Xenopus tropicalis: one gene and its partners. The protein of the gene in region 2 purifies or fractionates together with the protein of the main gene of each other region. This does not show direct contact. Links are inferred from orthologs where the notes say so. Each region holds a gene or a part of one and is shown on either strand. Other genes may lie near its edges.

The links.
Region 1: the proteins of hsp90ab1 (region 2) and hspd1 fractionate together in Homo sapiens (co-fractionation; 3 studies listed by BioGRID). This does not show direct contact. The link is inferred for Xenopus tropicalis from reciprocal best matches to the Homo sapiens genes HSP90AB1 and HSPD1.
Region 3: the proteins of hsp90ab1 (region 2) and fgfr3 purify together in Homo sapiens (affinity purification with mass spectrometry; 3 studies listed by BioGRID and IntAct, with this or other methods). This does not show direct contact. The link is inferred for Xenopus tropicalis from reciprocal best matches to the Homo sapiens genes HSP90AB1 and FGFR3.

What each region holds. Positions count from the first base shown.
Region 1 is NC_030685.2:46,530,795-46,541,071, reverse strand, and holds the start of hspd1 (60 kDa heat shock protein, mitochondrial), read left to right. Parts: upstream 1-4,332; 5' UTR 4,333-4,399; intron 4,400-6,851; 5' UTR 6,852-6,853; coding exon 6,854-7,027; intron 7,028-8,975; coding exon 8,976-9,228; intron 9,229-10,133; coding exon 10,134-10,216; intron 10,217-10,277. Other genes in the region: hspe1 (10 kDa heat shock protein, mitochondrial), read right to left, coding at 1-77, 3,606-3,623. UniProt on the Homo sapiens protein: Chaperonin implicated in mitochondrial protein import and macromolecular assembly. Together with Hsp10, facilitates the correct folding of imported proteins.
Region 2 is NC_030681.2:2,228,806-2,238,821, forward strand, and holds hsp90ab1 (heat shock protein HSP 90-beta), read right to left. Parts: upstream 9,150-10,016; 5' UTR 9,104-9,149; intron 7,909-9,103; coding exon 7,762-7,908; intron 7,472-7,761; coding exon 7,265-7,471; intron 7,144-7,264; coding exon 6,984-7,143; intron 6,900-6,983; coding exon 6,766-6,899; intron 6,690-6,765; coding exon 6,384-6,689; intron 6,286-6,383; coding exon 6,120-6,285; intron 5,574-6,119; coding exon 5,383-5,573; intron 5,295-5,382; coding exon 5,147-5,294; intron 5,009-5,146; coding exon 4,740-5,008; intron 4,650-4,739; coding exon 4,316-4,649; intron 4,198-4,315; coding exon 4,088-4,197; 3' UTR 3,311-4,087; downstream 1-3,310. UniProt on the Homo sapiens protein: Molecular chaperone that promotes the maturation, structural maintenance and proper regulation of specific target proteins involved for instance in cell cycle control and signal transduction. Undergoes a functional cycle linked to its ATPase activity.
Region 3 is NC_030677.2:20,899,245-20,909,421, reverse strand, and holds part of fgfr3 (fibroblast growth factor receptor 3), read right to left. Parts: intron 9,111-10,177; coding exon 8,966-9,110; intron 7,396-8,965; coding exon 7,208-7,395; intron 5,541-7,207; coding exon of another isoform or gene 5,538-5,540; coding exon 5,392-5,537; intron 5,307-5,391; coding exon 5,185-5,306; intron 4,364-5,184; coding exon 4,253-4,363; intron 3,802-4,252; coding exon 3,611-3,801; intron 2,485-3,610; coding exon 2,362-2,484; intron 1,352-2,361; coding exon 1,281-1,351; intron 533-1,280; coding exon 395-532; intron 1-394.

The DNA of each region.
Region 1 (10,277 bases), on a different chromosome or scaffold from region 2:
GTTACAGTTTCTGCAGCAAGCCGCTCAACAAGGACACGATCAAATAGAGGAACAAACTTTTTGAAAGCTCGAACTGCCTAAAATTAAACAAGGAAAACAAAAGAAGGGGTAATTTATATAAGGAAGTAGAACATCATAAAAGCAAATTCTACACATATTCAGTCTAGACAAATGTATGGTCTGAATCTTGCATATCCCAGCGTCCATGTTTAGTCACTCTCTGTTGTACATAAGCTGGTAATGTAATTAAGACTGACAGAATAGCAGAGTATAAAAAAGAGATGTAGTATAGATAAAAGGATTATCATCAAGAAGTGTACTTCCTGATAATAAACCTAAAAAAAAAAATTGAAAGGTCCTTTAACAATAACAATATTACCAAAAAATGGAAAGTCCAATCAAATGACCCAATATACTATCTAACACTATGTATAACAACCAGTACTAATACATATATGCTTAATGCATGCATATCATATCTAAAAGCTGTGACTGGCCAGCCTACTAGTTCATCTCTAAAACATAGCAACCATGATCCTTAATAAATATTACTGACTGCATATTGGGAAGAAAGAGTGGTTGTTAATGTTACATTTTCTCTTTGGAGTAAGGCTCTGACCCATATACATCCCCAAAGTACACATTCTGCAAAAAACTAAATGGGTAAATACATCTTTCTACTGCAAACTACCAAACTACAAAGTTTTGCTAAAAGTAGCGTTTTTTATTTAATTGTCACAAAGCTTGCATTTTACCCCATTATATATTCCACATATTGTAATGTAATAACATCCAACATTCTAAATATAAACCTCAGGGGTCTGCTGAACAGTTTGATGCCCAATATGTATAGATTTACCAATCTATTTGGCATACAGAGGCACCCAAATATATACATAGCAGACAAATTTTTCATGGGCACAAGTAACAAAAAATAATGTGAGATGCAATAAAATCACTAAAATCAATGCTTCGTGTGCAACAAATAGAGGGGGGGGGGGGGGGGGGGATCGAGCAGGCCCTTGGGCCCCTTCCTCTTCATCCCTTTGACCTTCCTCCTCCTCCAAACAGATCTTGCAGCCTGCTACCCTCTCCTAGATCTGCAAGTGTAGTAGAACGTAGAATCTATGATCAGTGGCACTTAAATACTTTTATCCACAGAATGCAGATTCTACATTCTGTGGCATATAAATGGTTAAAGAATAGTGATAAATGGAACATTTTCTAGTTGGAACAATGTTTATCCTTGGTCTTTGACCCTCATTTGTTTATAAATGACCTTAAAGATGTCACTCTAAAAACAACCACTGTTTTGCTGGTGTTAAACTGTGGAAAACTATTGGTTTCATGCAGGATGTTTTCACTTTGCGGAGAAATTTTAAAGAGGATGTAAAGTCATTTTTTAAAATACACATATAGATTCTTAGCACTACACTTTGTAATATATGTCTGTTAAAAAATGTGATACTTGCTCGGATGTAAAAGCGTTTGTTTCTGCAGCTTTCTTTTCTCTCCCTTGATTACAATCCCCCTTGAAGTTCAGAGGCCCCTGGCCTTCATACTAACCTGGTCCTGAGGGACAGCAATTCCAGAACAAATATGTAGCTGTGTGAGCGTTAAACACCCTTGACCCCTGTCTAACAGTTAAGCATTGAAGGGGCTGCCAATAAATCATACGCAAGAAGGACACTGAACTTCAAAGGGAATCTCAATCAAGGAAGAGAAAAGAAAGTTGCAGAATCGATCGCTTGTATCTCAAAAGGATACAAGTACGCAACCACAATATTTTCCTACGACTGATTTGAATTTGTGACATTTCCAAACATCAGAAATTACTGTAGTTACTCCAAATTATTTGCATATCGTGATTTTAACCACAAAAAAATTGTGGTTTAATGAATTTGCCCCCCATGAGTTTTGTTGTTTTACACCATGGTTTGTTAATTTACTTAGTCTGATTGGGGACATTTGTCCTATTTGATTTTATGTCACCATGTTAAGTAGTAATATGCTTTTCTGACCTTGTTGACCACACTGCATTCTAATTTGTAGTACCTGGGGATTTTTATTGTATCAAATCATATGAGGGTTCTGTATTGGTTCCACTTTTATTTAATGTGTTTATTGATTACTCAGGGGAGGGTATTATAAGGAATGTATCAGTGTTTTCAGTTGACACAAAACTCCCAGTAGCCCAATGAATTCTATCCAGGATGTGGCATCCTAGCAGAAGGATTGTGACAAACTAGCAACCCGGGTGGCTATGTGGCAGATGAGATTTAATGTCAATAATTGTAATGTCATGCACCTGGGATGTAAAAATATACAAGCCACTTATACCCTTAATGGGACTGGACTAGGCAAATCCATAATGGAGAAGGACCATGTAGATAATAAACTTGGCTGTAGCAAACAATGCCAGGCAGCAGCTGCAAGGGCAAAAAGGTTTTGAGCTGTATTGAATGGGGTATAGATAGATGCTTTATTTACCAGTAGGCCCATGCCCTTTCTGCAGACACGAGTGCACCCATTCAGACTAAAAGAAAGGAGGTCCTGTTCAGAGCTGTAAAGTTGTGGAATTCTCTCCCTGAATCAGTCAAACTGGCTAATACATTAGATAGCTTCAGGAAAGGGTTGGATGGCTTTTTAGCAAGTGTGGCAATACAGGGTCATGAAAGATAGTTCATAGTACAAATTGATCAAGGTACTGATCCGATTGCAGTCTTGGAGTCAGGTAAGATTTTTTCACCCTCTGTGCTAAATTGGAGAGGCTTCAGAAGAGATTATTTGCCTTCCTCTGGATCAACCAGCAGTTAGGCAGGTTATATGGGCATAAAAGGTTGAACTTGATGGACATCAACTATGTATAAACCACAATCTCCCTTCACCAATGGATATAATTGTGACTGGTCTCTGTTCACTACAAGGCACCGAATCAGCCTTGGTGCAGACATGGGGGTGGAATTTTACTTGAAAATGCATGAGTTACCATTCCTGCACCAAAATCCACTGCACTCAGGCTGAAGCAGTGTCTTTCAGTGTATACACAGGAGCAAGTGGATCAGCTGATACTCTGCCTGTGTATAAATGCAACCAAGTGTGGTACTAACCTTAAAGGCCAGAGCGTCAACTACTGACAGACAATGCCTTTCCTAATCTGGACAACTATTCTGAGCAGCAGAACCCTAAACTGTATTGCTGCCCATTCTTTATATGTGCAGGTTGTACATGACCAGGTGCAGTAAGTTTAAAGAAAAGCTGAAGTGTGATCCTCATCCAATGAACAGTGTATGAGCTATCCCAAAAGCATGAAACAAAAATGTAGAGAAAAGCAGGTAAATAGGACGTCTAAAGTGGACAGTTAACAAACCTTATAAAACTAATTATTACATAAAACCCATGCAACACAATCTATAAAGAATCTTGATCAACCCTAAATCCACAGAACACTGAATCTATGACTTGCGACTATTCTTTAATTTATAGTGCTGCTCATTTTAGCCATAACACTTGAAAAATAAAATAAAAAGCGTGTCTTAAACATCATGCAAGCTTGCATAGTTTAACTTTTTACAATATGTATTTCAATTATAATCCCCACTTACTTGTACGCAGGACATCATTCTTCTACCTTACATATTACTGGTGAATGTACAGCAGCAACAACGCAAATATACGAATTAACTATATAAATAACAAAAACTGGCACATCATGCGATAGTCAGGCATACCTAACGGTTAAACGCAGCACTCACCATAGTTAAGCAAGACTTGATGTGCAAAGCAGCAACCAACTCTACAAGCTCCTAGCGCAGACTGGGACACTTGACCTACAACCACGTGAATAGAAGGCAAGCTTTGCACATGCGCAGTAGAATTAAGGGACGAGCGTAAAAACACACAATCAGGTGTAAAATAGAATTGCACTAACCATATGTTGTATATTTTTTCAACACTATATAGTCCGCTTTGTATTAAAACGAATATTAACGACTAGTTCAAAACTCATCAGCCCAAGGCTGATGAGCTTTGAACTTTAGTTTTTTGCATCCGGGTTATCTGTCAATGTCACCTCGAACCTTGGAAAGCGAAGCTATTCCAGAACGTTCTGGAAAGGCGGCCCAGGAACTAGTATATCGGCATATGCTTAGGTCGTTGTGCAAGCTCATACGTAATAGGAGGAGCAACTTGTTCAGTTGTAATAAATGCCAAGGGGGGTTCTTTTATTCAGCCGTGTTATTCGTTCATGCTTAGCCCGTGGTAGTTAAAGCTTCCGGAAGGCTGAGGCACGTCATTCCCAGAGGAGGTTTAGAGCTTGTGCTGTAGGTCTGACAATTCCATTCGGCTGCAGACACGTGTGTGCTTGTACAGTAAGTTGCTCTTCGCTTTGCCTGCTCAGGTGAGTTGCTGGACCGGCTTCTTTTTGTGTCATTCTTCTTTCACAATTGGGCTTTGAGTGTAAATTGCAAGAATTAACTGTCATTTCTTGCAGCTAGCCGTTAGAGCAATGAAACATTGTGAATTCTCAAGTTAAATTGGTTTTCAATATGAATTTTTTTTTTACATTTCACATACAGCAATAAAAATGAGATTACAAGTTTATATGTTATTATAAGCTTATATTTGTTTATAAGCAATTATATTGGTGCCGAACGCGTGTATTGCAGTGATTTGTAAAGGACGAGTCTTATTCTAAAATCTAAATCATGGGTTGGTACATACAATTATTCAGTCTGTTCCCGTAGAATAAGATTCTGCCTACAGTAAATAATACAACATACGTGAGTGGTTTAACCATTGTTAGTGTAGCAAAGCAGATTCATTTGTTAAACTAGGTCCCCAGTGTGAGCAGCGTAATATGCAATTATGAGTGTCACTTTTCTGACTGTTTTTATATGTATTGCAATACTCCACTATGTATTGCAATTCAGTACTAAAAAAAAAATTGGTTGTAGTTCTGTGAAGTTCATTCATATTATGACCTTGTGTATTATGCCCTTTCAGATACCTGCATGTCAGGTCTTTGTTATGTCATCATCCCAAGTTTAAAGTAATTAAGGGGAACTTCTCTCCCATTTTTAGGGCATTCTTTAATTCTGAAAAGTTTTGTGTACCCTATGTTTTTATGTAAAGGTTTAGCTTTCATTCATTATTTTCTAAGAATGAGATAATATAAGGGCATACTTTAATATGTACATAACATGTGTTATTTGTGTATGAATATGTAGAATGGATTTAAAGGGACAAATAAGAAATCTATCCACTATTGTATCAAATTAAAACAATGCCAGAGACTCCCACCTCCTGATCTGGGTCAGGGAGACATGTGAAGGCCCAAAATGAAACATCAGTATTAGAAAAACAGTCAGAAATAAAAAATAATTGCTAAAATAGTTCTAGTGAACTATGTTAAAACACCTGACATGGAAATTTCAAGAATTTAATTTCTTTAAAGGAGAAGGAAAGGTAAAAACTAAGTAAGCTGTATCAGAAAGGTCTATGTAAATACAGCCTTAAGCACTCAGAGAAACGCTGCACTGAGTTCTCTGTCAAAAGAAACGCAGGATTTCTTTTTTTTGTAAACATGTTAGGGTATCTGACTTCCTCTCTCAGAAAAATCCATCATTCCTGGGGCCAGAGTCTGCACAGTTCTCTCTTGCTCCCCCTCCTCCCTCAAGAATGTTGAGAACTCCCTCCCCCTCCCTTGGGAATGTGTAATCTGAGCTATAATGGTTAGAGCTGAAGCAGGAAGCTATGAAGACCAAGCTAAAATGGCAGCTGCAATCTCAAACAGAGAAAGCTTCTAGGGCTCTGTACTGAGGAATAGTAATGGTTTCTGCAGAATAAATATAGTGTTCTAGGTGGCACTAATGTGGTGAATCTCTTGGCAGTAAAATGCCAAAATGCCTTTTTTAATGGCTTAGCGTTGTCTTTTCCTCCAGTGGAGAATCTACAACTTATAATGTACCCATTTTATGTGTGTGTAATTTTAGTGGGTTAGTCTGATACTTTTGGCTCAACTGAGAATCAATAACCCCAGGGTTAACTGAATCTGGCAATTAGCAAACTTCAAAAAAATGAAGGGACACAGGTGTCTTCGTACTGGCGATTCACTTTATTGCTGGTGGGAAGACACCAGAAATAAAACCTTTTTTACATCATAACATTGTCTTTGCATGCTATTATCAATTATCAATGACCCCAGCTTTTTTCCCTGCCAAAACACATTTTGAAATTGTAATGCTGATTCACACACTTAGATTGATGTGAAAATTTAAATTTAGCTGCAGCTGCTGCTGAACTAAAATCTGTAAGAGTATCTGTTAAAAATGGTTATTAGCCAATATATTTTTCTGCAGCATTAGAGCAATGCTATTGATGCTGTGTATCAGTTGTAAATGAATATATCTAGTGACCCAGAAAAGATTAATATGAGAAAAGAAATGAATTGGGGCCCTCTTTCCCTCTTCGGTTAGTGGGCTTTTTTTTTTTTTTTTTCCCCATGGTTTTTTTTTTTTCTATTGTACAGTGTTAGTGCTTTTATAAATGTTCTTTAAAGACCTTTCACTTTGAAAGTGATGTGATTGTATTCATCATTTTTACACGAACATTTTAAGCTTTAATACGTTAAATTTTAAGTGACTCTCAAAATCAAGCAGGATTTAACTGAAGGCCAAGAGCAGAAGGGCTTATAATTAATCATTTCGTGTGTTGTGTTAATTTTGAAAAAAACAAGACAACCCCACAATATAAGATACATGAATTATCTTAAACATCTCTGTTTGCCCTGTTTAGCTCAGTAAATAGCAAACCAACCACCATGAAACAATGCAACCATTTTTCTGTTTTAGAAATGCTGAGAATACAAAGAATTCTGCGACATGCAAAGCCAGCTTCCAGAGCGCTGTCCTTGAGCTTGAGCCGCCAGTATGCCAAAGATGTTAAGTTTGGGGCTGATGCAAGAGCACTTATGCTTCAAGGGGTTGATCTCTTGGCTGATGCGGTGGCTGTGACAATGGGACCCAAGGTAACCTACATACAACCTTAATAAAAAGTGTGGGATTACATTTTGTCCTTAATTAAAATTTGGTATTGTAGCCTTTACTTTTTATATTCAAATAGATGCTAAAATTAGTCACTATGTTGTAAGAGTTAATTACAAAATCTGATGTGTTAACAAGGGAGTGGGTGTACAGGTGATGCTTCCTGGTTGGGTAAAGTGGCAGCAATAAAGGCTAGCATGTTAACAAAAATGTTGTATGTTTTTAGGACAATACCTATTTTAGCACCTACTAATATTTATTTGAGTTGAGTATAAGCTAGTATTACACTATTATACTAGAAGATACTCTTGAAAGCTAGGACTTGTTTAAAGTGGCAGTGAAGAATATGTACTTGAATTTTGTGGTAGTTTTTTCTTTCTAGTGTGTAATGTGTTAAGCTGCTCTGTATGTAGCTGCCTTTTTTGTTCTCTTATTTACTTATGTTACATGCTAGTATATTACAAGATAAATGTATGATATGAAATCTTTAACAAAATGTTGATAAAAAAATTAAACTGCACAACTGAAACAGAAATTTTTAAGAGACTCCTAAATCAGCATTGACAGAAGCATTTGATACAGTGTTAGAAACAACTGCTTTCTAAACTATGGTCTGTTGGTCTTAGTGAAGTCATTTGCACATGGATAGAAAACTGGCTACAGGATCGGGAACAGAGGGTGGTTGTTAAAGGAGAATGCAAGTCAAAATTTAAAAAGCATACTGCCCAATACTCCTATTGTTTAGTAAAAACGCCACACTTTTGGCTCACCTAATCAAATATTTACTCAGTCACACTTAATTCACATTGTCTAGAACAGGCAGCCATCTCTAAAAAGGTATTCTCCCTTCCTTTCCCTCCTTGCTTCATACTGCAATGTGTTTCACTCCCTCCCCCCCCTCCCCTCTGCCAGATCCGCTTCTGATTGGCTGGTGGGCATGTGTAGCTCAGAACAGCAGACAGGATCAAGTTACACACATGCTCAGAGAATAGGAAGGCTGCCGCTGGCACCTACAGGAAGGACAGAGATTTCAGTGATGTCACTGTAGTCTTCACACTGCTGTAGGCTGCCAGCACCATATCTCAGAGAAACAAGCCGGGATCTGGGAATTTAGATATGCAGTAAGTACTTAAAAAGAATGCCTTTAGACTTACTTTTAATTTATATTAACCTTTCATTGTCCTTTAATGGTACATTCTCTACCTGGAGTAAGGTTCTTAGTGGGGTCTGTATTGGGTCCACTTTTATTTAACTTCTTCACTAATGACCTTATTGGAAGGGTATTGTAAGTAATGTGTCAGTGTTTGCATACAACGTCTGCACGTCACACAGGCAGAACAGAAAAACTTTTGGGACTGGGTTTCATTGCTGCACTGGTATTTATCTTTACAGCAGATTGTTCTAAAAGATAATTTGAGATGTTTTTGCTGACACTCGCTGTTTAAATTCAGAGTTGTGCAAAGGTGTCCCTCACTTTTATAGGGAATATGATTACAATATCTAACTATACAAGGCAACTGTATAAAAATATACATATTTGCCAGTAGATCCTTTGAGGAGATGCAAGGGCTTTAAAAGAATGGAGGTTCCATTGTAAGATTCAAAAAGGGGTTTCGTGTTTTTAAAAGTGAGCTGTTAAGCATATGTACATTAGACAGTTTAAAATAGGGTTGCATGCCTATTTAGAAAGCAATTTAATACAAAGTTACTGAAATGCACCCAGCTGATCCAGAGATTGGTCCAGTTGCTCTTTATTCAGGAAGGAATTCACCCCCCCACCTTTGAGACAAATCTTCAGAATCCTGATGTTTATGCAAATACCATATGGTTAACTCTACTGCACATATGCAGTAGTGTTGCTAACACAGAAGATAAACTTCTTGAGCATGGAATACAACTGTTATTTTCTCTTTATTTTAAATGTCTTTTTAGGGAAGAACTGTTATTATCGAACAAAGCTGGGGAAGTCCAAAAGTAACCAAAGATGGCGTAACAGTTGCAAAAGCAATTGATCTGAAAGATAAATACAAAAACATAGGTGCCAAACTAGTTCAAGATGTAGCTAACAACACAAATGAAGAAGCAGGTGATGGAACAACCACTGCAACTGTCCTTGCAAGGTCTATAGCTAAAGAAGGCTTTGAAAAGATAAGCAAAGGTGCAAATCCAGTAGAAATTAGAAGAGGTAAGTTTGAAACCCCTTTTTTCCCTTTGGATTGCAGAAGTTACGTTAACGGAACATAAATTTTGCTTTCTGGCACACCATTATTTTCCACTGAAATGGGTATTGACAAGTCCTGTAGCATTTAGTGTTAACTTTTTTAGATACCATACTAAAACCCAGATTTTACTCTTACAATATCACCACTAAAATGACAGCACTGATTGTATGTGTGCCAAAACATTACATAGAAACATAGAAAGTGAAGTTAAAGAAAGACCTGTATCTGTAAAGTTTAACCTCATGTACTTGATCAAGCTAACCGTTTCATCACCAGTGTCAACCACTGCTCTTTTCCTTTCAATGCAAAATGGTGACGGAATGAATGATGGTTTGTCCTTCACGGTTCTCTCAAAGAGCTCCAAGGCCATAAAGCACAATGGCAGTCTAAATAACTTTATATTTATTTCCAGAACAAAGTAAAGCTATAAATGGAACTACTGAAATGCATTTCTGATAATATCTGCAAATGATGTTTCTGTTGGGACAGATGTATTAAATACTTCTATTCATTCCTTCTCTGTTTGCTTACACATCACGAGTACTGAACCCTGATGCTATCCCTCACTAACTCTTTAGGAGACCGTCCCTTATGTAATAAAAGGTGCAAAGTTTGCAGTAACCCTTATAAAATTTAAAGCGTGTGACCAGTACATTTTTCTGCTGACTGGTTTATAAAGGGTTGCTGCACATTGCCTAATTTGGTGCCTTTTGTTGCATATCCCAGGTGACCTCTAGATACGTTTAAATACATAGACTTCGGTTTATTAACCACTGATATTTAGAAACAGATCTCTAACCACATAATTTTTATATATATAATATAGTATGTATGTAGTAACATTTCCGTTTTTGTATTACTTGTTTAGGTGTAATGATGGCAGTAGATGCGGTCATCAAAGAGTTAAAAAATCAGTCAAAACCTGTTACAACACCAGAAGAGATAGCTCAGGTAATATTTCCTGCTAAAGTTCAATACTCTTACTTTTTTTTATGTTTTTGGCTGGTGGGGG
Region 2 (10,016 bases):
GTAAGTGATGCCACTGTGATGTGATGTAACTAACCCTTCGACTGCTGGTAGGAAGAGTGTCAGTCAGCACACAGCATGCAGAGGGTTAAGGCCCACAGTTACTCTCAGGTTAGGGTTCTCTTAAAGGGGTAGTTCACCTTTAGTCTGATGTAGAGAGTGATATTCTGAGACAATTTGCAATTGGTCTTCATTTTTTATTTGTAGTTTTTTAATGATTTCAGTTTTTGTTCAGCAGCTCTCTGGTATTTTTGCAGCTATCTGGTTGCTAGGGTCTTATATACCCTAGCAACCAGGCAGTGGTTTAAATGAGAGATGGGAATATGAATAGGGGAGGGGCTGCACCAAAAGATACGGAATAAAAATTAACAATAACAATAAAACTGGAGCCTCACAGAGCAATAGGGTTTGGCTGCCGGGGTCAGTGACCCCCATTTGAAAGCTGCAAAGAGTCAGAAGAAGAAGGGAAATAATTCAAAAAATATAATATAGCAGATAATAAACTCTGTAGAATACAATGGTGTTTTATAGGGCTTATCTATTATCTGCTATGTAACATGTGCCTTTTTTGCAGCGTGAACGGCTGCCCCCGGGGCTACACAGCGGGGTATTTATATAAACTATAGTAGGGTTTCTGTAGCAAACACCCCAGCTGTACCAGGGCAGGAATGGCTGCCCCCGGGGCTACTCAGCGGGGTATTTATATAAACTATAGTAGGGTTTCTGTAGCAAACACCCCAGCTGTACCGGTGCAGGAACGGCTGCCCCCGGGGCTACACAGCGGGGTATTTATATAAACTATAGTAGGGTTTCTGTAACAAACACCCCAGCTGTACCAGTGCAGGAATGGCTGCCCCCGGGGCTACACAGCGGGGTATTTATATAAACTATAGTAGGGTTTCTGTAGCAAACACCCCAGCTGTACCGGTGCAGGAATGGCTGCCCCCGGGGCTACACAGCGGGGTATTTATATAAACTATAGTAGGGTTTCTGTAGCAAACACCCCAGCTGTACCAGTGCAGGAACGGCTGCCCCCGGGGCTACACAGCGGGGTATTTATATAAACTATAGTAGGGTTTCTGTAGCAAACACCCCAGCTGTACCAGTGCAGGAACGGCTGCCCCCGGGGCTACACAGCGGGGTATTTATATAAACTATAGTAGGGTTTCTGTAGCAAACACCCCAGCTGTACCGGTGCAGGAATGGCTGCCCCCGGGGCTACACAGCGGGTATTTATATAAACTATAGTAGGGTTTCTGTAGCAAACACCCCAGCTGTACCGGTGCAGGAACGGCTGCCCCCGGGGCTACACAGCGGGGTATTTATATAAACTATAGTAGGGTTTCTGTAGCAAACACCCCAGCTGTACCAGTGCAGGAACGGCTGCCCCCGGGGCTACACAGCGGGGTATTTATATAAACTATAGTAGGGTTTTTGTAACAAACACCCCAGCTGTACCAGTGCAGGAATGGCTGCCCCCGGGGCTACACAGCGGGGTATTTATATAAACTATAGTAGGGTTTCTGTAGCAAACACCCCAGCTGTACCAGTGCAGGAACGGCTGCCCCCGGGGCTACACAGCGGGGTATTTATATAAACTATAGTAGGGTTTCTGTAGCAAACACCCCAGCTGTACCGGTGCAGGAATGGACACGTGTATGCTTGTGTGCTTTTTGTGCCCCAGAGTGAGAGAGGGGTAGGTAGGTGTGGCCCTTGCCTGGGGCAGGTACAAAGGCTGGGAGATGAGGCTGGAGGGCCCCCATGTGGTACAGAATGGTGCTGAATAATAGAGATAGTGGCTAATAGGCTTCCAGTGCCCACTGTTTTACTGAGCCCCTAGGGCAATTGTGCTCACTGCTCATTGGCTAGGGCCTAGGGGTGGGAGGAACCCTGGCTCTGTGGCAGACAATCATTATATTGGGTCAAAAACAACGGGCTTCATACAGGAATCTGCATAATTCCTTCCCCCTGAAATATCCTGCAATCGATAGGGCAGCTCCCTCCTTTATAGTAAGGGATTCCTCTATTTGCCCCACATTTGGGCAGATAAGTGACTGGCAGTGGGTTTGGTGGCCCTCCTTCCCCCAGAACGCAACTTTCCCTTTAATAAAAATCCATACAAATTACAGCTCCCAGAAGCCTCCGGCAGCCAAAAGGCAACAGGAAAGGAGGAAAAGATACAAGGACCACAAATCCCATAAGTCAGTGCGGCCGGCAAGGGCCAGAGATCTGATTCTGCTCCCCACTCTGGGGCAAGTTCCTTTCCTGATACTCAGAGGGGGTATTGGGCACATACACCAGTGCGGGCTGCAGCACGGATTTCTAGGAATTGCTGATTAGCCCAGCCGGGCATAGAAGCCCCTGGGGGGGTGGGGCAGCATCTCTGCATATAAATATATGGGGCGGAGTTAGGAACATCAGGGAGCAACAGCGCCACCCACTGCTCCCACACAGTGTTACAGTTGTGCTGCAATAAGGGGACCCCCAATAGAACAAGACAGCACCACCCTTACATACTTCTAAGGAACTACAACTCCCACCTTGCTCTTTGGTACAACCCCCCCCAACCCCCAGAGATGGTCATTTAAGCCTTTACCAGTGGCCCCTCCTACAACACCCACCCTAAGGGCTTTATGGACTTGGCAAGAAGAAACCAGCAGCACAAACATAATGGCCTTGGGCAACAAGGCACAGGGAGGGGCATTATCATTTTCATATGAGCAGGGGCAGCCAGGCTGAATCATGCTCAGAACAGCACCCTCTCCTGGCTGTAACAAGGAGCTGTGCTCTGATAAACTTCAGGCACACTTTACTGCTGCGCTGCAAGTTGGAGTGATATCCCCCTCCCCCCCAGCAGCCGATCAGCAGAACAATGGGAAGGGAGCAAGATAGCAGCTCCCAGTAGGTATCAGAATAGCACTCAATAGTAAGAAATCCAAGTCCGGCTTGGGACTCCTCCAGTTACATGGGAGTAGGAGAAACAATAGGTTAGCTGAAAGCAGTTCTAATGTGTAGCGCTGGCTGAAAGCTCAGACTCGGGCACAAGGCACTGAGATGGCGCCTACACACCAATATTACAGCTACAAATACATTTGTTGGTTGAAGAATAAAAGGATAAATGACAGAGGGAATTATTTGCTGTGTAACAGTGTTAGAGATACAAAGTGTCCCATAAATATCATGCCAGTATCCCAAGCCTTATAGAAATCCAAGGCTGTAACTACTGCACATAAGGTTTATAGTTGGGGAAACAGCCCTGTAACACAGCATTGTATCCGGTGCAGTCGGCAGCACATAAACAGGAGACAAACTGTTTCACTGTAAAAAGATCTTTATTTTGCGCAACATTTCTCAACTTTACAACAACAAAAAATAAAATAAAGTTCCGTATTGAGGCTCTCGATAGAGAGATGTGTAGGATGGGGGTGGGGTCTCAGCATTCAAGACATCCTGGGGGCGGGGGCACGAGATTCCAGTCAGAGAGATGGGGGCTACCACTCAGCAGATTTGGGGGTGCTACAGATTGAGGTAGCATTGGGCAGAAGTACCTCACCCCCCCAGACTGGCCTGGCGTTTCTATTTGCAAACACCAGCACATTCAATCGCCCCCCCCATGCAAGTGAATGGGAGAAGGCAGCAGGGGGGTCTCTAAAGCTTCCCAGTAAGTACCCCCCGTGCCTCAGGGGGGGCACAGAGGGACACGCCCATTACAATAGTGGCAGAGGGTAGGATTAGAGGGGGGGCCTGTAAGGTGCATTGAGAGAGTCAAACAGACCCCCCCCCCCAGCAGCTGGCTAACAGCGGGCCACTAACTCAGGGCTACCTCAAGCCAAGCTAGCTGCCATACTGCTACAATAACTTACATAACTAACTGCTCAGACTGGAACACAACAAGGGGGGTGCAGAGGAAAGGGTTAAAGTCAGCAGCCATCAGTCTTGAAGCTCCCCCAAATATATTCTATAAGGAGGGAAGTCCATCCCCAGTATCATGTGATATTTAGAGTCCAAGGGAGAAGTCGCCCCCCTACCGAGTTACAGACAGTGCACATACGCGGGTGGGAGGGGGCAGGACGAGCGGGCAGCAAACCGATTAGTCGACTTCCTCCATGCGAGAAGCATCTTCGTCGCCCTCTAGGGGTGGGATCTCGTCTGCCACCGAGGGGGAAGTTTCCTCCACTGTTGCATCGTCATCATCAATACCTGAGAGAGACAAGGGGAAGTTAACCCTAAATGTGGTGGTTTCAGGACCCTACATACAAATCCCCTTTATGGCAGAAGGATTCTGGTAGCCATTCCCATAATGCTCAGCGACACCTACCCAGACCCAGCTTGATCATCCTGTAGATCCTGTTTGAGTGCGTCTGGGGGTCGTCCAGGGAGAAGCCGGATGACAGCAGCGCGGTCTCGAAGAGCAGCACCACCAGGTCCTTCACTGCTTTGTCGTTCTTGTCGGTTTCCGCTTTCTGCCTCAGGGTCTCCACGATGGGGTGCTCGGGGTTGATCTCCAAGTGCTTCTTAGCCATCATGTAGCCCATGGTGGAATTGTCCCGCAGAGCTTGCGCTTTCATGATGCGCTCCATGTTGGCGGTCCAGCCGTAGGTGCTGGTGACGATACAGCAGGGAGAGGAGACGAGTCTGTTGGACACGGTGACCTGCGGGGTAACAAGGGGCAGGTTGGGGGTTAGCAGGACAAGGCTATACTAGGGGAGGGGCAACATTACTTCCTTCTGCCCCATCCTCACCTTCTCTACTTTCTTGTCCAGAATTTCCTTCATCAGTTTGCACAAACTCTCAAATTTGGTCTTGTTCTCTTCCATCATCTTCTTCTCTTCCTCGTCCTCTGGCAGCTCCAGGCCCTCCTTGGTCACAGACACCAGCGTCTTCCCGTCGAACTCCTTCAGCTGCTGCACGCAGTACTCGTCGATGGGCTCAGTCATGTAGACCACCTCGAAGCCACGCTTCCTCACCCGCTCCACGAAGGCGGAGTTGGCCACCTGGTCCTTGCTCTCACCTGCGAGACAGAACAGAGGGGTCACGTGTCAGACTCTTCCTCTAAGCGAGCTGCGGAGAAGTGACCCCAGGGGAAGAGGAATACCCCTCTCTCCCAGGGGAGCCCATAATGGGATATCTTGCTGCAAGGGCCACTTACCAGTTATGTAGTAGATGCTTTTCTGGTTCTCCTTCATACGGGACACATACTCTGTTAGGGAGGCCATCTCGTCGCCTGTCTGGGAAGTGTGGTACCTGAGGAGCTCAGACAGCTTCTTGCGGTTGGTAGAATCCTCGTGGATGCCGAGCTGCAAGGAGAGGTAGGTCAGCAAGAGCCACTGGGACGAACAAGAGCTCCGCCCACTACAGCCCAGGGCACCCTCCTGCACTGCTCACCTTCAGGTTCTTGGAGAAAGCCTCGTAAAACTTCTTGTAGTTCTCCTTGTCCTCGGCCAGCTCGGTGAAGAGCTCCAGGCACTTCTTGACAATGTTCTTGCGGATCACCTTCAGGATCTTGCTCTGCTGCAGCATCTCACGGGAAATGTTCAAGGGCAGATCCTCAGAATCCACCACCCCGCGAATGAAGTCTGGAAGAGAGAAAAGAGTTAGAGGCGGCACAGGGAGAGACTGCCCAAAAGTCCTACATTCAGGATCCATCTGTGGGGCCCTGTGTGCCTACGTGTGTGTGTGCGCAGCTTAGTAGCAGCTACCAAATCCCCTGCCATAGACAATACTGAGAATTCCTTCTGCTAGACACACGTAGAGACAATTATCAGCAAATGATCAACATTGTCTGTTTCTGTAGCTGCTACTAGTAGCTCCGTGTGTCTTCCCCTTATAGATACGCGAGTGCACCAAGAGGCCTGTGCGTAAGAGACAAGGATTCTTGGGCTGAAATACTACAATAGGCAATTAATTGCCCCTGCCCCCCCACACACTTACCTGCCTGCCTGTGTGCCTATGGGTGTGCGTGGGGCCCTGCCTGCCTGTGTCACCACATCAAGCAAAAGATCTACATGCTAGACTGTTAATGAAGCATCTAATGCCAGACTATTGGAAGGCTTTACCCAGCATCCCATCCTATGGGGGGGGGGGGAAGGAGGGGGCCCACTAAGCTTCGGGCCAGTACTTACTCAGATACTCTGGGATCAGCTCGTCGCAGCTATCCATGATGAAGACGCGGCGCACGTACAGCTTGATGTTGTTCTTCTTCTTCTTGTTCTCAAACAGATCAAAGGGGGCGCGGCGGGGAATGAAGAGCAGAGCGCGGAACTCCAGTTGCCCCTCCACAGAGAAGTGCTGGGGGGAAGCAGAACAGGGGGTGTTAGCGCTCAGGAGAGAGTGTGGAACCCAGAGCTGAACAAGCGGTGCATTATGGGGTTTTTTTTTCTTCTTACCTTCACAGCCAAGTGATCCTCCCAGTCATTGGTCAGGCTCTTGTAGAACTCTCCGTACTCTTCCTGGGTGATGTCGTCTGGGTTACGGGTCCAGATGGGCTTGGTTTTGTTCAGCTCCTCCTGGTCGATGTACTTCTCCTTGATCTTCTTTGTCTTTTTCTTCTTGTCCTTCCCCTCCTCTTCCTCATCGGAGCCCACGTCCTCTATTTTAGGTTTGTCGTTCTCTCCCTCCTCTTCCTTCTTTTCTTCCTCTTTCTCCTCCTCTGCCTCATCGTCGCTGATCTCCTTTTCCCTCTCCTTCTCCAGCTGTCGGGGAGACAAATAGTGAGCCAATCGTACATCAGACCCAGGGCCCTGCCCCCAGCTGGCCGGCCATACTCACATAGAGGGTGATTGGGTAGCCAATGAACTGCGAGTGTTTCTTCACGGTTTCCTTGACACGTTTCTCCTCCAGGTACTCTGTCTGATCTTCCTTCAGGTAGAGGATGACTTTGGTACCACGGCCAATGGGCTCACCTAGCAGGAAATACCAGTTTGGGGTTAGTGGTGCCAACTTACAGGCCTTTAGGGGAATTCTGGTCCAATTGAACACAAACTCACCATGGTCAGTCTTCACGGTGAAAGAGCCGCCGGCGGAGGATTCCCACGCGTACTGTTCATCATCGTTGTGTTTGGTGATGACCAAGACCTTCTCTGCCACCAAGTACGCAGAATAGAAACCCACACCGAACTGACCAATCATAGAGATGTCAGCACCAGCCTGTCAGAGAGAAGGAACCACAACTCAATTGGACTTCAGGGAGACACCACTGGCTAGTGGACGGTACTTAATGCGCCAGCATTTAATAGTCAATGCTTTATATTGGGCCGCTGGTACCGACCTGCAGGGCCTCCATGAAAGCCTTGGTGCCGGACTTGGCGATGGTTCCCAGGTTGTTGATGAGGTCGGCCTTGGTCATGCCAATCCCGGTGTCGATGACAGTCAGTGTGCGCTCCTGGCGGTTGGGAATGATGTCGATCTTCAGGTCTTTGCCGCTGTCCAGCTTGGAGGGATCGGTCAGACTCTCGTATCGGATCTTATCCAGGGCCTGCGGCACCGAACAATGGGGAGAAGGTTGAGGATTGGCAGAGAGTGGCTACTAGCCCAGAGGGCCCCCCCCCCCTCATTATAACAGTCCCCCCAGACCCCTATGCAACAGGCAGTGAAGCTGCCACAATACCTACTAATATAACAGCTTGGCTGCAGAGCACACACACCATTCTATCACTAGCTGAGCCAAGAGGCCAGCTCTGCTTTAGTTCAGATACCCCCTCCCCCCACATATGGGTGCTTGGGCACTGGCACAGTTGGCACATAGGCAGCCAAGGACAGACTTACGTCGGAGGCGTTGGAGATCAACTCTCGCAGGAAGATTTCTTTGTTGGAGTAGAAGGTGTTGATGATGAGGGACATGAGCTGCGCAATCTCCGCCTGGAAGGCAAATGTCTCCACCTCCTCCTCTCCATTGTGAGCGACTTCAGGCATCTGTGTAAGGGAACGAGAGTCAGCTGGGTCTTAGGCAGGACTATTGCCCCGTGCAACACCAGGGGCCGTATAACTGCCCCCTCCTATGCAACATTCTACTTCCTGCTCTTATGAGCAGAATGGAAACAAAGCAGCAGCCTCTGTATAACACTCACACCCTGCCATTGGGGAAAGGGAGGGGTTTGTTTATATAGAGGCTTCACAGCAGCCATGTAAGGGACTTTTACTTTCAGTTCCACCCTGGTTAGAGAAATATATTTATATTAAATAAGTCCTATTATCTCCTTACAGCAACAGGCAGATCTCTGTGCAGAACTTGCTCTACTCATTGAGCTCACACTGAGTAACTGGGGGTACTGGCCCTTTAAGACCCTGTGAGAAGCTTTTAAATCCCCCCTCCCCCGATTTTGGGCTGAAAGACATTTGCGACCTGTCCCGCTGGGTGTGGGGCAACAGGAGCCCCGGGTGTGGGGGGCAACAGGAGCCCCGGGTGTGGGGGGCAACAGGAGCCCCGGGTGTGGGGCAGCTGTCAGTGTTATTCGTTCCCCCCCCCCCAGCAGAGGGAACACATGGACCAGCCCATACGGCGCAAGCAGCAGCGGGACAGACCATGACCGGGCGCAGGGGGAGCCGTTACCATGGATACACGGCCCGGCCCCGGCTGTGACGCGCTTCATCCCAACATGGCGGCGCTACCGGCTCCCTAACCATGTGCGCCCCCACCCGCGGGGGGGGGTAGAAAGATCTAGAAGGTTCCAGGGCCGGGGGGCGGGGCCGGGACTGACAGTTAGGGAAACCCCGGGAATAATACACAGAATGAACCTTTCCCGTAGAGAATTACAGGGGCCCCGAATTCGCCTCAACGATAATGTCCCCTCTCCCCCATCTAACTGCCCCTCTCCCCCATCTAACTGCCCCTCTCCCCCATCTAACTGCCCCTCTCCCCCATCTAACTGCCCCTCTCCCCGCTACTATGGCTCCTGCCTCAGTTTCTCCAGCCATTGCCCCACTCGGACTCCCAAGTGCCAATACCCAGCCCGCTGCCCCCCAGCAGCCCCTCACTATCCCCCCAGCAGCCCCTCACAATGCCCCCCCCAGCAGCCCCTCACAATGCCCCCCCCAGCAGCCCCTCACAATGCCCCCAGCAGCCCCACACAATGCCCCCAGCAGCCCCACACAATGCCCCCCCGGGTACCTTGGCTGCTTAAGGATCTCCGCGGCCGAACACTGCTGGGGAATTGGTGAATGAAGAGGAAAGAAACAAGCAGCCGGGCACCTTTTATACTGGGCGGAGAGCAGCCCCAGATCCCTCCGCCTGCACCAGTGCCGGCACTATTTGCAGCTAGGGCTGAGTACGCGGAGCCGCAGTGAGAGAGAGTGCGGGCAGTAGCTCCGTGGGACCAGGGCTTCCCAGTACGGATCTGGGATTTCGCCTTTCAGCCCAGCTGCAATAATCAAACTACCGAGTGCGTCTCTCCTCAGGGAACTGAGCATGCGCAACTCTGTGTTACTCAGCACTCACTCACAGCGCCCCCTCTGGCCGGCCCGGGAGGTTCCCTCCTTATAGCAAATGCTGCTGGGACTATTTTTTTTCCTTGGCGGGAGGATACCAAGCGGAGGAGGTAGTGTAATTTTCTAGTAGTTTCTCTAGTGACTCCGCCTTTTGTCCCTCCCCTGCCTCTCCCCTGCCCCGCCCCTTCTTCCTTGTCTGTGAGGCAAATGAACCCTTCAGCCCCGCTGCCGCCATCTGCTGCTTTGTCATTCCGCTCGCCCTCTGTTGTTTGTGGGAGGGGCCAGGCTAGTGGGAGGGGCAAGGCTCCTGTTACGTCACTAACTGCAGGGACAAATGGCTGCTGAGTCACATGGGAAGATAAAGGGTTTATTTGGTTGTTTTATTTCTGTAGCCCTGGTATTCTGTCCCATCAGCCCCTGCCCCAGTGAGCTTACACTCTAATGTCCCTATCCCATTCCCATCAGCCCCTGCCCCAGTGAGCTTACACTCTAATGTCCCTATCCCATTCCCATCAGTCCCTGCCCCAGTGAGCTTACAATCTAAGGCCCTATCCCGATTCCATCAGTCCCTGCCCCAGTGAGCTTACAATCTAAGG
Region 3 (10,177 bases), on a different chromosome or scaffold from region 2:
GCTGTAGGACCACGTGCCTCATCTGAAGGGATTTTCAAACCTGCCAGATTGATATCTGCCCAATTTATGGCTAGATTATCAGTCGGACAAGCCCGTTGGTGGGCCCCATACACTGGGTACTAGGTTGCCAATAAGTTGCGGTTTTTATTAGCTCGTATATATGGCCACCTTAAGGGTTAAACTCCAAATTGCCTTCAATGGAAGCTGACTGGATTAAAGCTAAGGGAAAATAAACATGGACTGAATGTTCCTTAGTTCCATTAGTCAAATCCAAACTAAAATAAATAAATAAATAAAACAGGAAGGTATAGTGTGCCTTTAAGCTCCATGATGAAAAGCCTCCCTATTTGAATGGAGCTAGTATACAGGAGACAAAGGGGCCGCAGTTACTTACAGTTCATGTGTGCAGTTTGCTGGCTTGTCCATTCGGTGGCCTTCTTTCAATAGCTTAAAGAGTTCCTCTACTGGGATCCCTGGGTAGGGCGAGCCCCCCAGCGTAAATGTCTCCCACAGCAGCACTCCGTACGACCATCTGGGAATTAAAGAGAGACGTTTAGAATTCACAAGGGATCTTTTCTTTACAAGGATGGGGTTTATTTGCGGGCAGCCATGCATAACTAACAAAGTCATCAGCGCCATGACTAATTGCCCGGGCAATTTTTTTTTTTAAACTAGTCACTTGGAGATTGCTACTGGCCGCACTCAATAGCAAAGCTCAAAAAAAAAAAAAAAAACCCTTTAGGCACCGAGTCTGAAATTGAAATGAGCATTTAATCAGCCGGCTGACAGCTTATCCATTACGCCAGCCCCCTCTTTGTTGAGATTTCCACCAGTTTCGGTGAATGGAACAAATCAAATTATCCATGCACAAATCCCCTCCGCTGAATTCCAGCACTGTGGGACATGAATGGAGAGGAGCAACACTGAGCTTTGGCCGTAGCCAGGAAACCGCCACTTCCACGGAACGGCCATGGAAATAATTGGCCACCTTTATTCTACAGAGAGCGCTGCTAAGGGAATCCATCAGTAACACATGGGGCTGACGGAATGGGGGCCGCTGTAGGTTTAACTTGGATCACTACAGAATAATCTCACAGCCCAATCAGGGCTTGGGAATAAAGAAATTATCTTTATAATAAAAGAGCACCTTACACGTTCTATCAGATTTTTGCATTAGTTACCCTTTACTAGATAGATAAGCTATCAGACATTTGTTTATCAGAATGCTTAGTAGAGGAATTCTGCCTCTGTGGGCAGCATGGGTTGCAGTTAATGCTTACACATCACTTTGATGAGTGTAGATACGGTCAAACAAAGCTTCCGGAGCCATCCATTTCACAGGCAGCCGACCCTGTAATTGGGAAGACAGAATGGACTGTTACATCAGCACAGGGGTACAGTCACAATGGCACCATCCAATCTTCCCTTATAATCCACTATCTATCACTTCCACCCGTGCCCGCTGACCTCAGCTGCTTTCTGGCTAAAGATAATGGGTGCGGGTAAACAGATTAACAGTGACTAGGTGACTCCATAAGGCTAGAATGCTTATCTGAGTGCATTGGGCCTGACAGAGGGAAAATGTAGTGGGGAAACAGCAATATCATGATTATAGATTAAATAATGCAGTTTTGCAATAACTGGGGCATTTCTTTAGGTACCACAGCTATATTCTATGTTTTTTCAATATACACTGAAAAGCTGCTGACTCGGTCTGAAGGGGCCTGACCCTTTTAAGTACCTCGGAATCACTCCACACCTTGCACTGATGAGATTTATATAGCTGGCCATATCAAGGTAGAGGCCCTTGTTTGGAGAGGTTGCCAAATGTGTGGATCTTGCCCTGTTTGGCTTAACTAGGCCAACCTGATCACTTGGCCTCTGGGCCAACAATCCTATCACATAGGGGTCTGTAACCACAGTCTGATATGGTCCTTGCTGGATCTGATTATGCTACAATAAGATATGGATCAGGCCATATTTTGACCCTGTATCATGGTCAATAAGCTGCCAACTGGGCCAAGTTACATGTCAGTATTAGGCCAAGCAAGGCTTAACATGCACGTATGTTAGATATGTCTGGCCGTATCTATGGTTATTAAAAGGCGCCCTTATTCCAGTGATCCCAAACCTGCCCCTATGCCCTGTAATCTTGCTCCATGCAGTCTCATAGCAGACACTCATCTATTAAATGTTGTTGTGAGCTCCTGGCAAATTCCTATATACTGTATAGAAGCCGAAGCATCAGCCCCACTGCTGCAACTAAGGATTCATTTTCACGTCTCTCTCAACAGCCCCTTCAGTGGGAAGTAAAACTCAATATTTGCCATGTAAAACGACAGTTCTGTTTGGATAACTTACATTTGTTGTTTTCTTGTAATAATCTATGTTGTGGATGTCCCTGGCCAAGCCGAAATCAGCAATCTTCATTACGTTGTCATCTGTTACTAACACATTTCTGGCTGCCAGATCTCTGTGAATGCACTGGGGGAGAAGGAGAATACACAACATGTCAGTACAAGCGGAGCTGGAATATAAGCAAGATGGAGCTTCCCGCCTGACAGGCAACCCTAGCCCACCTGTTGTCCCACAAACCCTGCCCTATGCATCATCCTGGGGAATATAGGGCCAAATCGCCCACAGCTACATCCTAGATATTCTTGTTATCATGACTGAAGAACTAGTACGCCTATCCTACATCAAACACAGGACCTCTGAAATTTGACTACCACTGGTCTACAGGGTAGTCTGGCTCTGTTAATATTCTGTTGCTCTGTTTAGCTGGTTTGTTGGTTGATCCCAGCCTTTAAAGTGGAGTGCATAATGCATTACAAAATGCATTTTTTTGGAACACTTGATGGACTAAATAAAGCTCATTTAACCCTACTTGTGTTTTTTCTCCCCAGGTAATATTGCAGATCCTTGTGCCCCATACACCTTGGTCTTTAGAAAAGGGGATATAGGTTTGATTCTAACTGCTGTGGTCTTACTAGGGACTGCAGCCCAACACCCACCTGCCTGTGTTTTTTAGTGAGAGAATCTCTCAGTATTATCTGCAGCTCCAGCAGAACTGAAATCCACTGAGGGAGACCATCTGCCTGGTGGAAGAGAGTTTGGAGACCGATAGAATACTGACGTCTAACTGCACTTCTACATCTGATTTTTAGGACTGTGCTGAGGCCTAAGGCTTGTGCCACGTGGGGTACTTTCGTAGCTGCTGTAGAACACCCAAACCCAGCCAAACCACCTCTTAGCGACTATAATAGAAATCCACCTTGGGGCTGGGGTCAAAGACAGATGATATGGCCAGGTTTAAAATTGGCCCATGTGGTGCTTTGGATGCTGCAACCCAAAAGCCATCCTAGACTCCCCATTAATGGCAAAAGGAGGTGCAAAGAACTACCCATCTAGGCTGGGGCCAAGATGTAAAGTGGCTGCCAACCTTACTGTGCTGATTTGAGTACTAAGGCCAGGTATAGGGTAAGTGAGCAGCCTCTAGAGGAATGTTTGAGGCAGAGGGACGTGTGTGGATGAACTTTTTCAAAACAGGGTAGGAGGGCATCACCCACATCATATCTAGAACTCTTAATACAATACGTGCAAAACTTACTTTTTGTGATGCCAGGTACTCCATGCCACGGGCTACCTGGTAGGCGCAAGAAACTAGGTCCTTGAAAGTCAACTGCTCAGCTGGAATTTTGCAGGTGTCAAAAGAATAATCCATTCCTGGGGGGCGCCGTGCCTTTAAATACTCCCTGAGGTTCCCTTTGGATGCGTATTCCACCAGAACGTACAGCGGTCCTGCGTGGGATAGATGGGAGACAGTATATATTTACAATGGGTAACAGAAATTTCATTAACACAGTCCAACCCAATAAAAGAAAAATGCAGATATGAGATTACCACTAACCCCAGTTGGAGGCTGAACTGTAACTCCCACAATCCCCTAATGCTGGAAGTTGTAGTTTATCAACATTTAAATGAAGACTTTCTTTCAACCATAGGGTCACACAAGGACCCATTTTCGAGAAAGGGGCATATTTGGTAGAATAAACATTATTTTGTCTTTTGCCCCATTTGCCTGCAGTATTGAGCCTCATGAGACAGCAGCCCCTGTTTAAATGAGGCCGTTTACGAAGGTTGTTATTTGTGATATAAACTTCATCAATATGGGAGTCAACATTTCCTAACGCTTGCAGTTATATAACTTACAGGCCATTTCTAGCACAATGTAGGACACAGGCTTACATACCATCCTGAGTGCAGGCTCCTAGCAGATTGATGATATTTTTGTGCTTTCCGATCATTTTCATCATCTCCATCTCTGAGACCAGATCTGAGAGATCTTTATCTGTGGCATCATCTGCAAGACACGGGAGACAAAGTAATAAGCACAAGCAGTCACTGCAATAAGGGCCCATGGAACTGCTAAAAGGGACACCAACATGGTTTTGTTATCAGGGCTTAATGTATTGGGGGCATGGCACTTATTATCTAGAATAGACACGTCTAAAGGTGGCCATACATGGGCAGATTTCAGCTGCCAATTCGGGTCCTTTAGACCGATTCAGCAGCTTATTTGCCCACGTATGGGCACCCCCTATGGGCCTATCCGACCAATATCTGGCCTAACATTGGTCAGATCTCGATCGGGCAGGTTTGACTTTCTGCAAGGAATGGGGAGCGCTTGGCGCACTGATGTAGTCCTCGGACCAATGGAGACTATGCCCGCCATTTTAATTCAATTGTTTGCCCATAGGACCCATCTAAGGACCAGCTTAAATGGACATATCAAGAGAAGAGCCACTTGTTTGGCAACCTCGCCAAATGAGCAAATTGCAACATGTCTGGCCACCTTAAGAGAAGTCACAAATTCTTTTTTTCCTGCCAGGTGCCATTGCCCAAACCAAGATGTTAAAGTGTTAGAGTGGTGAGATACAAGTCTCATGAACTAATAACATTAAAGCCTGAATTAACATACTTCTAAAGCAGTATGGAGATCTTGTTCTACCCAGACCCAAACTGGCAATCTGTGAATTCTGGCAAATGCCAGAGGGGCTGCTGTAAGATGCCATAGACAGTCCCTATTTAGTGGGCTGGTGGGGGGCTGTTTGGGTCTCTATGTACTGGAAATGCCAGGGCCTATTTTGAATCCAAGTCCAGTCCTGATTCCACCCCTCGTACCTTTAAGCATCTTTACAGCTACAGTTACAGGCTTATTTGGCCGTTCCTTTTCAATGCCGATTGCTTCTGCCATCACCACCTGACCGAAGCAGCCTTCCCCGAGGGGCTTTCCTAAAGTCAGCCTGCAAAAGGAAGAAAATTAACTTGCCATCAGCATATGAGGTATGTAGATCAATATCCTATTTATGGCTGAGGAATTCCACTAACCGTGTTCGCAACAGCTCCCACTTAGGATCCAGCGGTAGGCCCAGTTCCGACACATTAGCCAGCATGGTTCCGTCGCTGGAGGACAGATGAGTGATCCTCACCAACGGGGTGTTGGAATTCATGGAAGAGTTGGACTCTAGAGACACCTGCTTAAATAAACCAAACAAATGTGTATTATTGCCAACTGCTGCACCTTGTCTACGCCAACAAATGTGCTAAGGTGAAACCTCAATATGGGTGACCTAAATGGTTTAGGCTGTTATATAAAATCAGGCAGATTGTCCTTTACTTTCTCAAGTGGAGGTATTTATTAATTTTCAAGGCCCTTTAAACTGAACAGATTTACCTCTATATGTCTGTAGCTCAGGAGTCAGGGGCAAGCAGCATTCATTCAACTGTACCAGGTAAAGAAAGGGGTTTTTTTGGTGGGTGGGGGGATTATTAGAATAAATATAAAACTTGAATCTAATATGATACTCAATAATGATATATGAGTACTTTATTGTACGGCCCATTGGGATGTACATGCCCCACTTATAGTGTCACGTAATATACCTACTCTTTATACTGAGTGTCATCCGGCAATAAAGGAAATAGGTGGTGAAGAAAAAGAGATCATTAGGAGGAAAGGTAACATTTCAGAGAGTTAGGATTAGAGAGGAAAATAAGTGCATTCAATTAGAACTAAATACAGGTTAATTGCCAAGGGAGAAGGCAAAGAAGAAAATACATGTAATAATGGAAGGTGAATTAGCACTTATTACATGTGATATAAACATTTTATTAATGTTTAGGTTAAAAGTGGTATTGAGCGTTGCTTAGTATTTTAATTATATTTAAGCAGGGATTATCTTCCATTTATTTTCCTTTAAACAGAGGCCTCGCTTATGTTTATAATACGCTTCACTTCCAGGAAACTGTTGCAGCTGCCAAGGGGGAGCCGATGTAGTCCTTATAACCTTGGCCATCTTCAAATGTCTCCCAAAGCTGTTACTACAGCCTTTTAGTATAGACTGCACCTGAACAACCCTTCTGGTTGTTCTCAAAACATTGCAGCTCCCACTGGTTTGTAGCGAAGGAATGGGCTCCGCACATACAAATCTCCATCTATCCTCCCAACAGCGATGATGGAATGAGGGCATCGCCTATCAAGCCCAATTCAGTAGCCATTTATATTGAGCTAGAACTGTTACAATGCTGGTTATAAATCAAAGTCCGGCCTCATTTCATAAACACAATATACTTTTTCCCTTGTTAGGTTATTTCTTAGGGTGCCAAAGATGAACCCTGGTGTCCTTATTGGACTGAGCATGGTCAGGAAACTGCAAATCTAGGCAGGCTGAATGCTTGCCTTAAGGTTTGTATTCTTTTTATTTGATCCATATAAATGCTGATGCATGGAGCTTCCATAGAAGATGTAATGTACAACAGTTCTATTGATATCCTTCCACCAATCCTCTGCCAGATTACCCTGTGCTAACCAGCCCTGCCCCTTAACCACCTTGGCAACTAATAGTGATCCAGTATACAGTGTTGGCCTTAAGTAAGCAAGAGAAACACCCTCATAGTCTAACCTCTATTCAAAGAAAAAAATGGAAGACAGGTTCAGCTTATAAAAAGTGAATAATAAAAAAACTAAAACACCAATATCAATCCACCTGCCCCACCATCCACGGAAACTGAGAAGATCTGAGGACCACAAATCCGACAGAGAGGTGGGCATTCTGACTCTTCCATAAAGAATAAGTGGAAATTCACCCTTGAGGAAAGACAGAGAGAAGTAGAGTGCAGTAATCTTGTATCTACTTTCTGTTACCTGCCGTTTAAGGGGAAACTTGGAGACTTTATGCACCGGCGGGGCACTCATTGCCTTTTTCGAAGGGACCTTTACGCGGTAGGTGACGAAGATGATAACCAACAGTATGAACCCAGTGATGACCGAAACCACGATAAGGACGGTCGTGGAGCTTGAAGAAGTTGTTGTTGGCTTCTCCACAGGTTCTGCTGAGGATGGAAAACAATCAGTTGCAACCAAGAACCCGCAGTTATCATAGCAGAAGCTGTTAGTGTAGAGCGGGAAGGGACTACTTTTGTTTGGGTAAGATTAGACAGCCACATACCTACATGTATTCAGCCGATAGCGAGGCCCAGTAGCCCCATGGAAGTGGTTGGGTGGGTGAAACCAAATAGAGACATAGGGGCTAATTTACTAATATAGGTGTAGAATTGCACCAGCGCTCTTTCCAATAGCAGCCAAAAGGCAGTTTGTTTTTATGGGCCCTACAGGCCTTGGTGTGTACATGATGGCTTGAACCAAATAATTCCAAAAACTATTATCTTCTGCTTATAACTATATAACCCACTCATGTATAAATGCAAATACTGTATTTAGAGATAGGATCATTTGTACAGCTGCAGCGCGGTGCTCATAATTTACTTTTTGTTTCACAGAAAAAAGGAGCATATTAATAAACTACATTTTGGCTTATATATTATATAGTGAATAATCAAAGGTCAGAATCCCCTTCTCATAAATGGAGGTTAAACTCTACAGAACAGTGATTTTACTCATCTAAGGGATTTACTTAACACTTCCTAAGTGAATATTTTCTGCACAAACACTGGAGTGTGGCAGATTATTGGTGGGTACAATGGCTACTGTTATTATACATTTGCTTTAGTGCAAGACAATTGTTATTAATACAATACAAAATAATTCAGGAAACAATCCATTCTTCCATTCATTCTGCTAAAATGGATATTCGAGAACAAATAAGAAAATGGAGAGGGGCCAAGAGTAACACAGAGCACAGAGAGAGACAGGGAGAGAGAAAAGGCAATTTATCCACCACCTCAAGGAAAAAGAATCAGGCCATTAACTGATCAAGTGCCACAGAAGGACCAACGGACACTAAAGGGTGTATTTATTAACACTGCAGACAAACATCACCGGTGATGTTGCCCATAGCAACCAGCCAGCAACTAGATTTGAATGGTCACCTAGAAAACAAAAGTGAAGATCTGATTGGTTGCTATGGGCGACATCACCGGTGATGTTTGTCTCCATTGTTAATAAATATGCCCTTAAATGTGTTAATCCCTCATTTGCACGTGGTAGTAGTATAATGATTCAGTAAGAAGATCACATGTACAGAAATGCCAAACTAAGGGCCAAGTCAATTTAAAAGGGATTGTTTACATAGGCCTTCCAGGTCCATTCCTCTGCTCAAGGCACTTAGGCCTCTAACTTCCCAATCTGTGGAGATGGCCAAAGTAGTAAATGTGGATGAGGAGCCTAAAGGCCATTTGCAAACCTTACTCTAATGAGCAGAAAAACTGAAAGCACCTTAGGAAAGAGCCACATTGGGCATTTTGGGTTCTGGCAGAATCCTTTAGTGTGTCTATGTGGGGGCAAACCTATGGGCTTGAAGCCAAAGTGCTGGTTGAATCTTTTGAGTGACTACTTGCATTGGCAACACGATTGCATGATTCATTCTGAAAGGTGGAGAGGTCTATTTGGCATTTCTTGGTTACATGGAAAGCGCCACCGAAACAGCGTGATGAGCAAGAATACCTGGGAGAACCGTCAGCCAAGCAGTGTGATGTGAATAGCCAATAGAATTCCCAGCCAGACAAGTATATTCCCCAGCATCCTCAAAGGACACATTGCGTAAAACCAGCACCTCAAGATCCTTATCCGAAGAGTAAACACCAGTAGGCTAAAAAGAGATCAGAGAAATTAAAGATAAAGGAAAAGAGAACGGGGCACAATGAACAAGCATGGAATAAATCATTGAAAGGCAACCCAGTTTCCCAGCACACTGAAACACAAGAATAAGAAACCAAAGCAGATGGAGTTTGCAGAAGACCCAAATGATGACACCTGTAGGAATAAAAAAAAAAGGACACCAGCTCCCTTCACCAGCCTTTTATACACCTGTAGGAAAGAAAGACACAAGCACCCTTCACCAGGCTTTATATTCTATATCATGGCAGCATGCACGCAATGGGCACCTGTAATTACTGACCCACAACACAGCATGTTTCATGATTCTTGAAATGGTACATTTGGCTCTCAAATGGATGTTCAGTTTGAACTTTATAATGAATATAATGGAACAGGGCAGTGCACAGCTAAGTGCCACCTTCAGGCTAAAGACAAGAGGTTAGTGGGATAGTCTGGATCTAACGCTCACTGGGCACACCTTGGCTACACTTCTTTTTTTGGAAATCATTATAAATCAACCTAGGAGTGGATGTCAGTAACACAATAAGAAGTAATACAAGTAATACAATATACTTATGAACAAAGTCTGGCTTTGCCAAAGAATGGCGCCGGTCTATAGAAAAGACCTTAACGGAGGTAACTAATATGACAGCCTCAGTAATAGAAATATGCAGAGGGAACGTTGGCTGTAAAGAAAAACTATCCATTTTATTCACAAATTGGGGATTCATTTCCTCTCCCTGTGCCCTGAAACTACAGCAGATGAGAATAAGGATGAAGGGTACCTTTTTATATAAGTTACCCATAAGCACAACCGGCTCTAGGGGCACTATTCCATTATATAATATGTACATTTCTATTCAATTAAAAAACTGTGCTTTAGATCCAAATAATCCCAGTTCCAACAAAGTAATTTCTTTATGCATAAATCCTGACTTTATGCCAGGGTGTAGGGGGGAGGAAGGTTAGCTAGTTGTGGGTCCTGTTGCGCTACAATCCAATGTATTTCAGTGTTGAAGAGGCAGAAAGAGCTGCAGATGTTAAGTCACCCAAGGAACC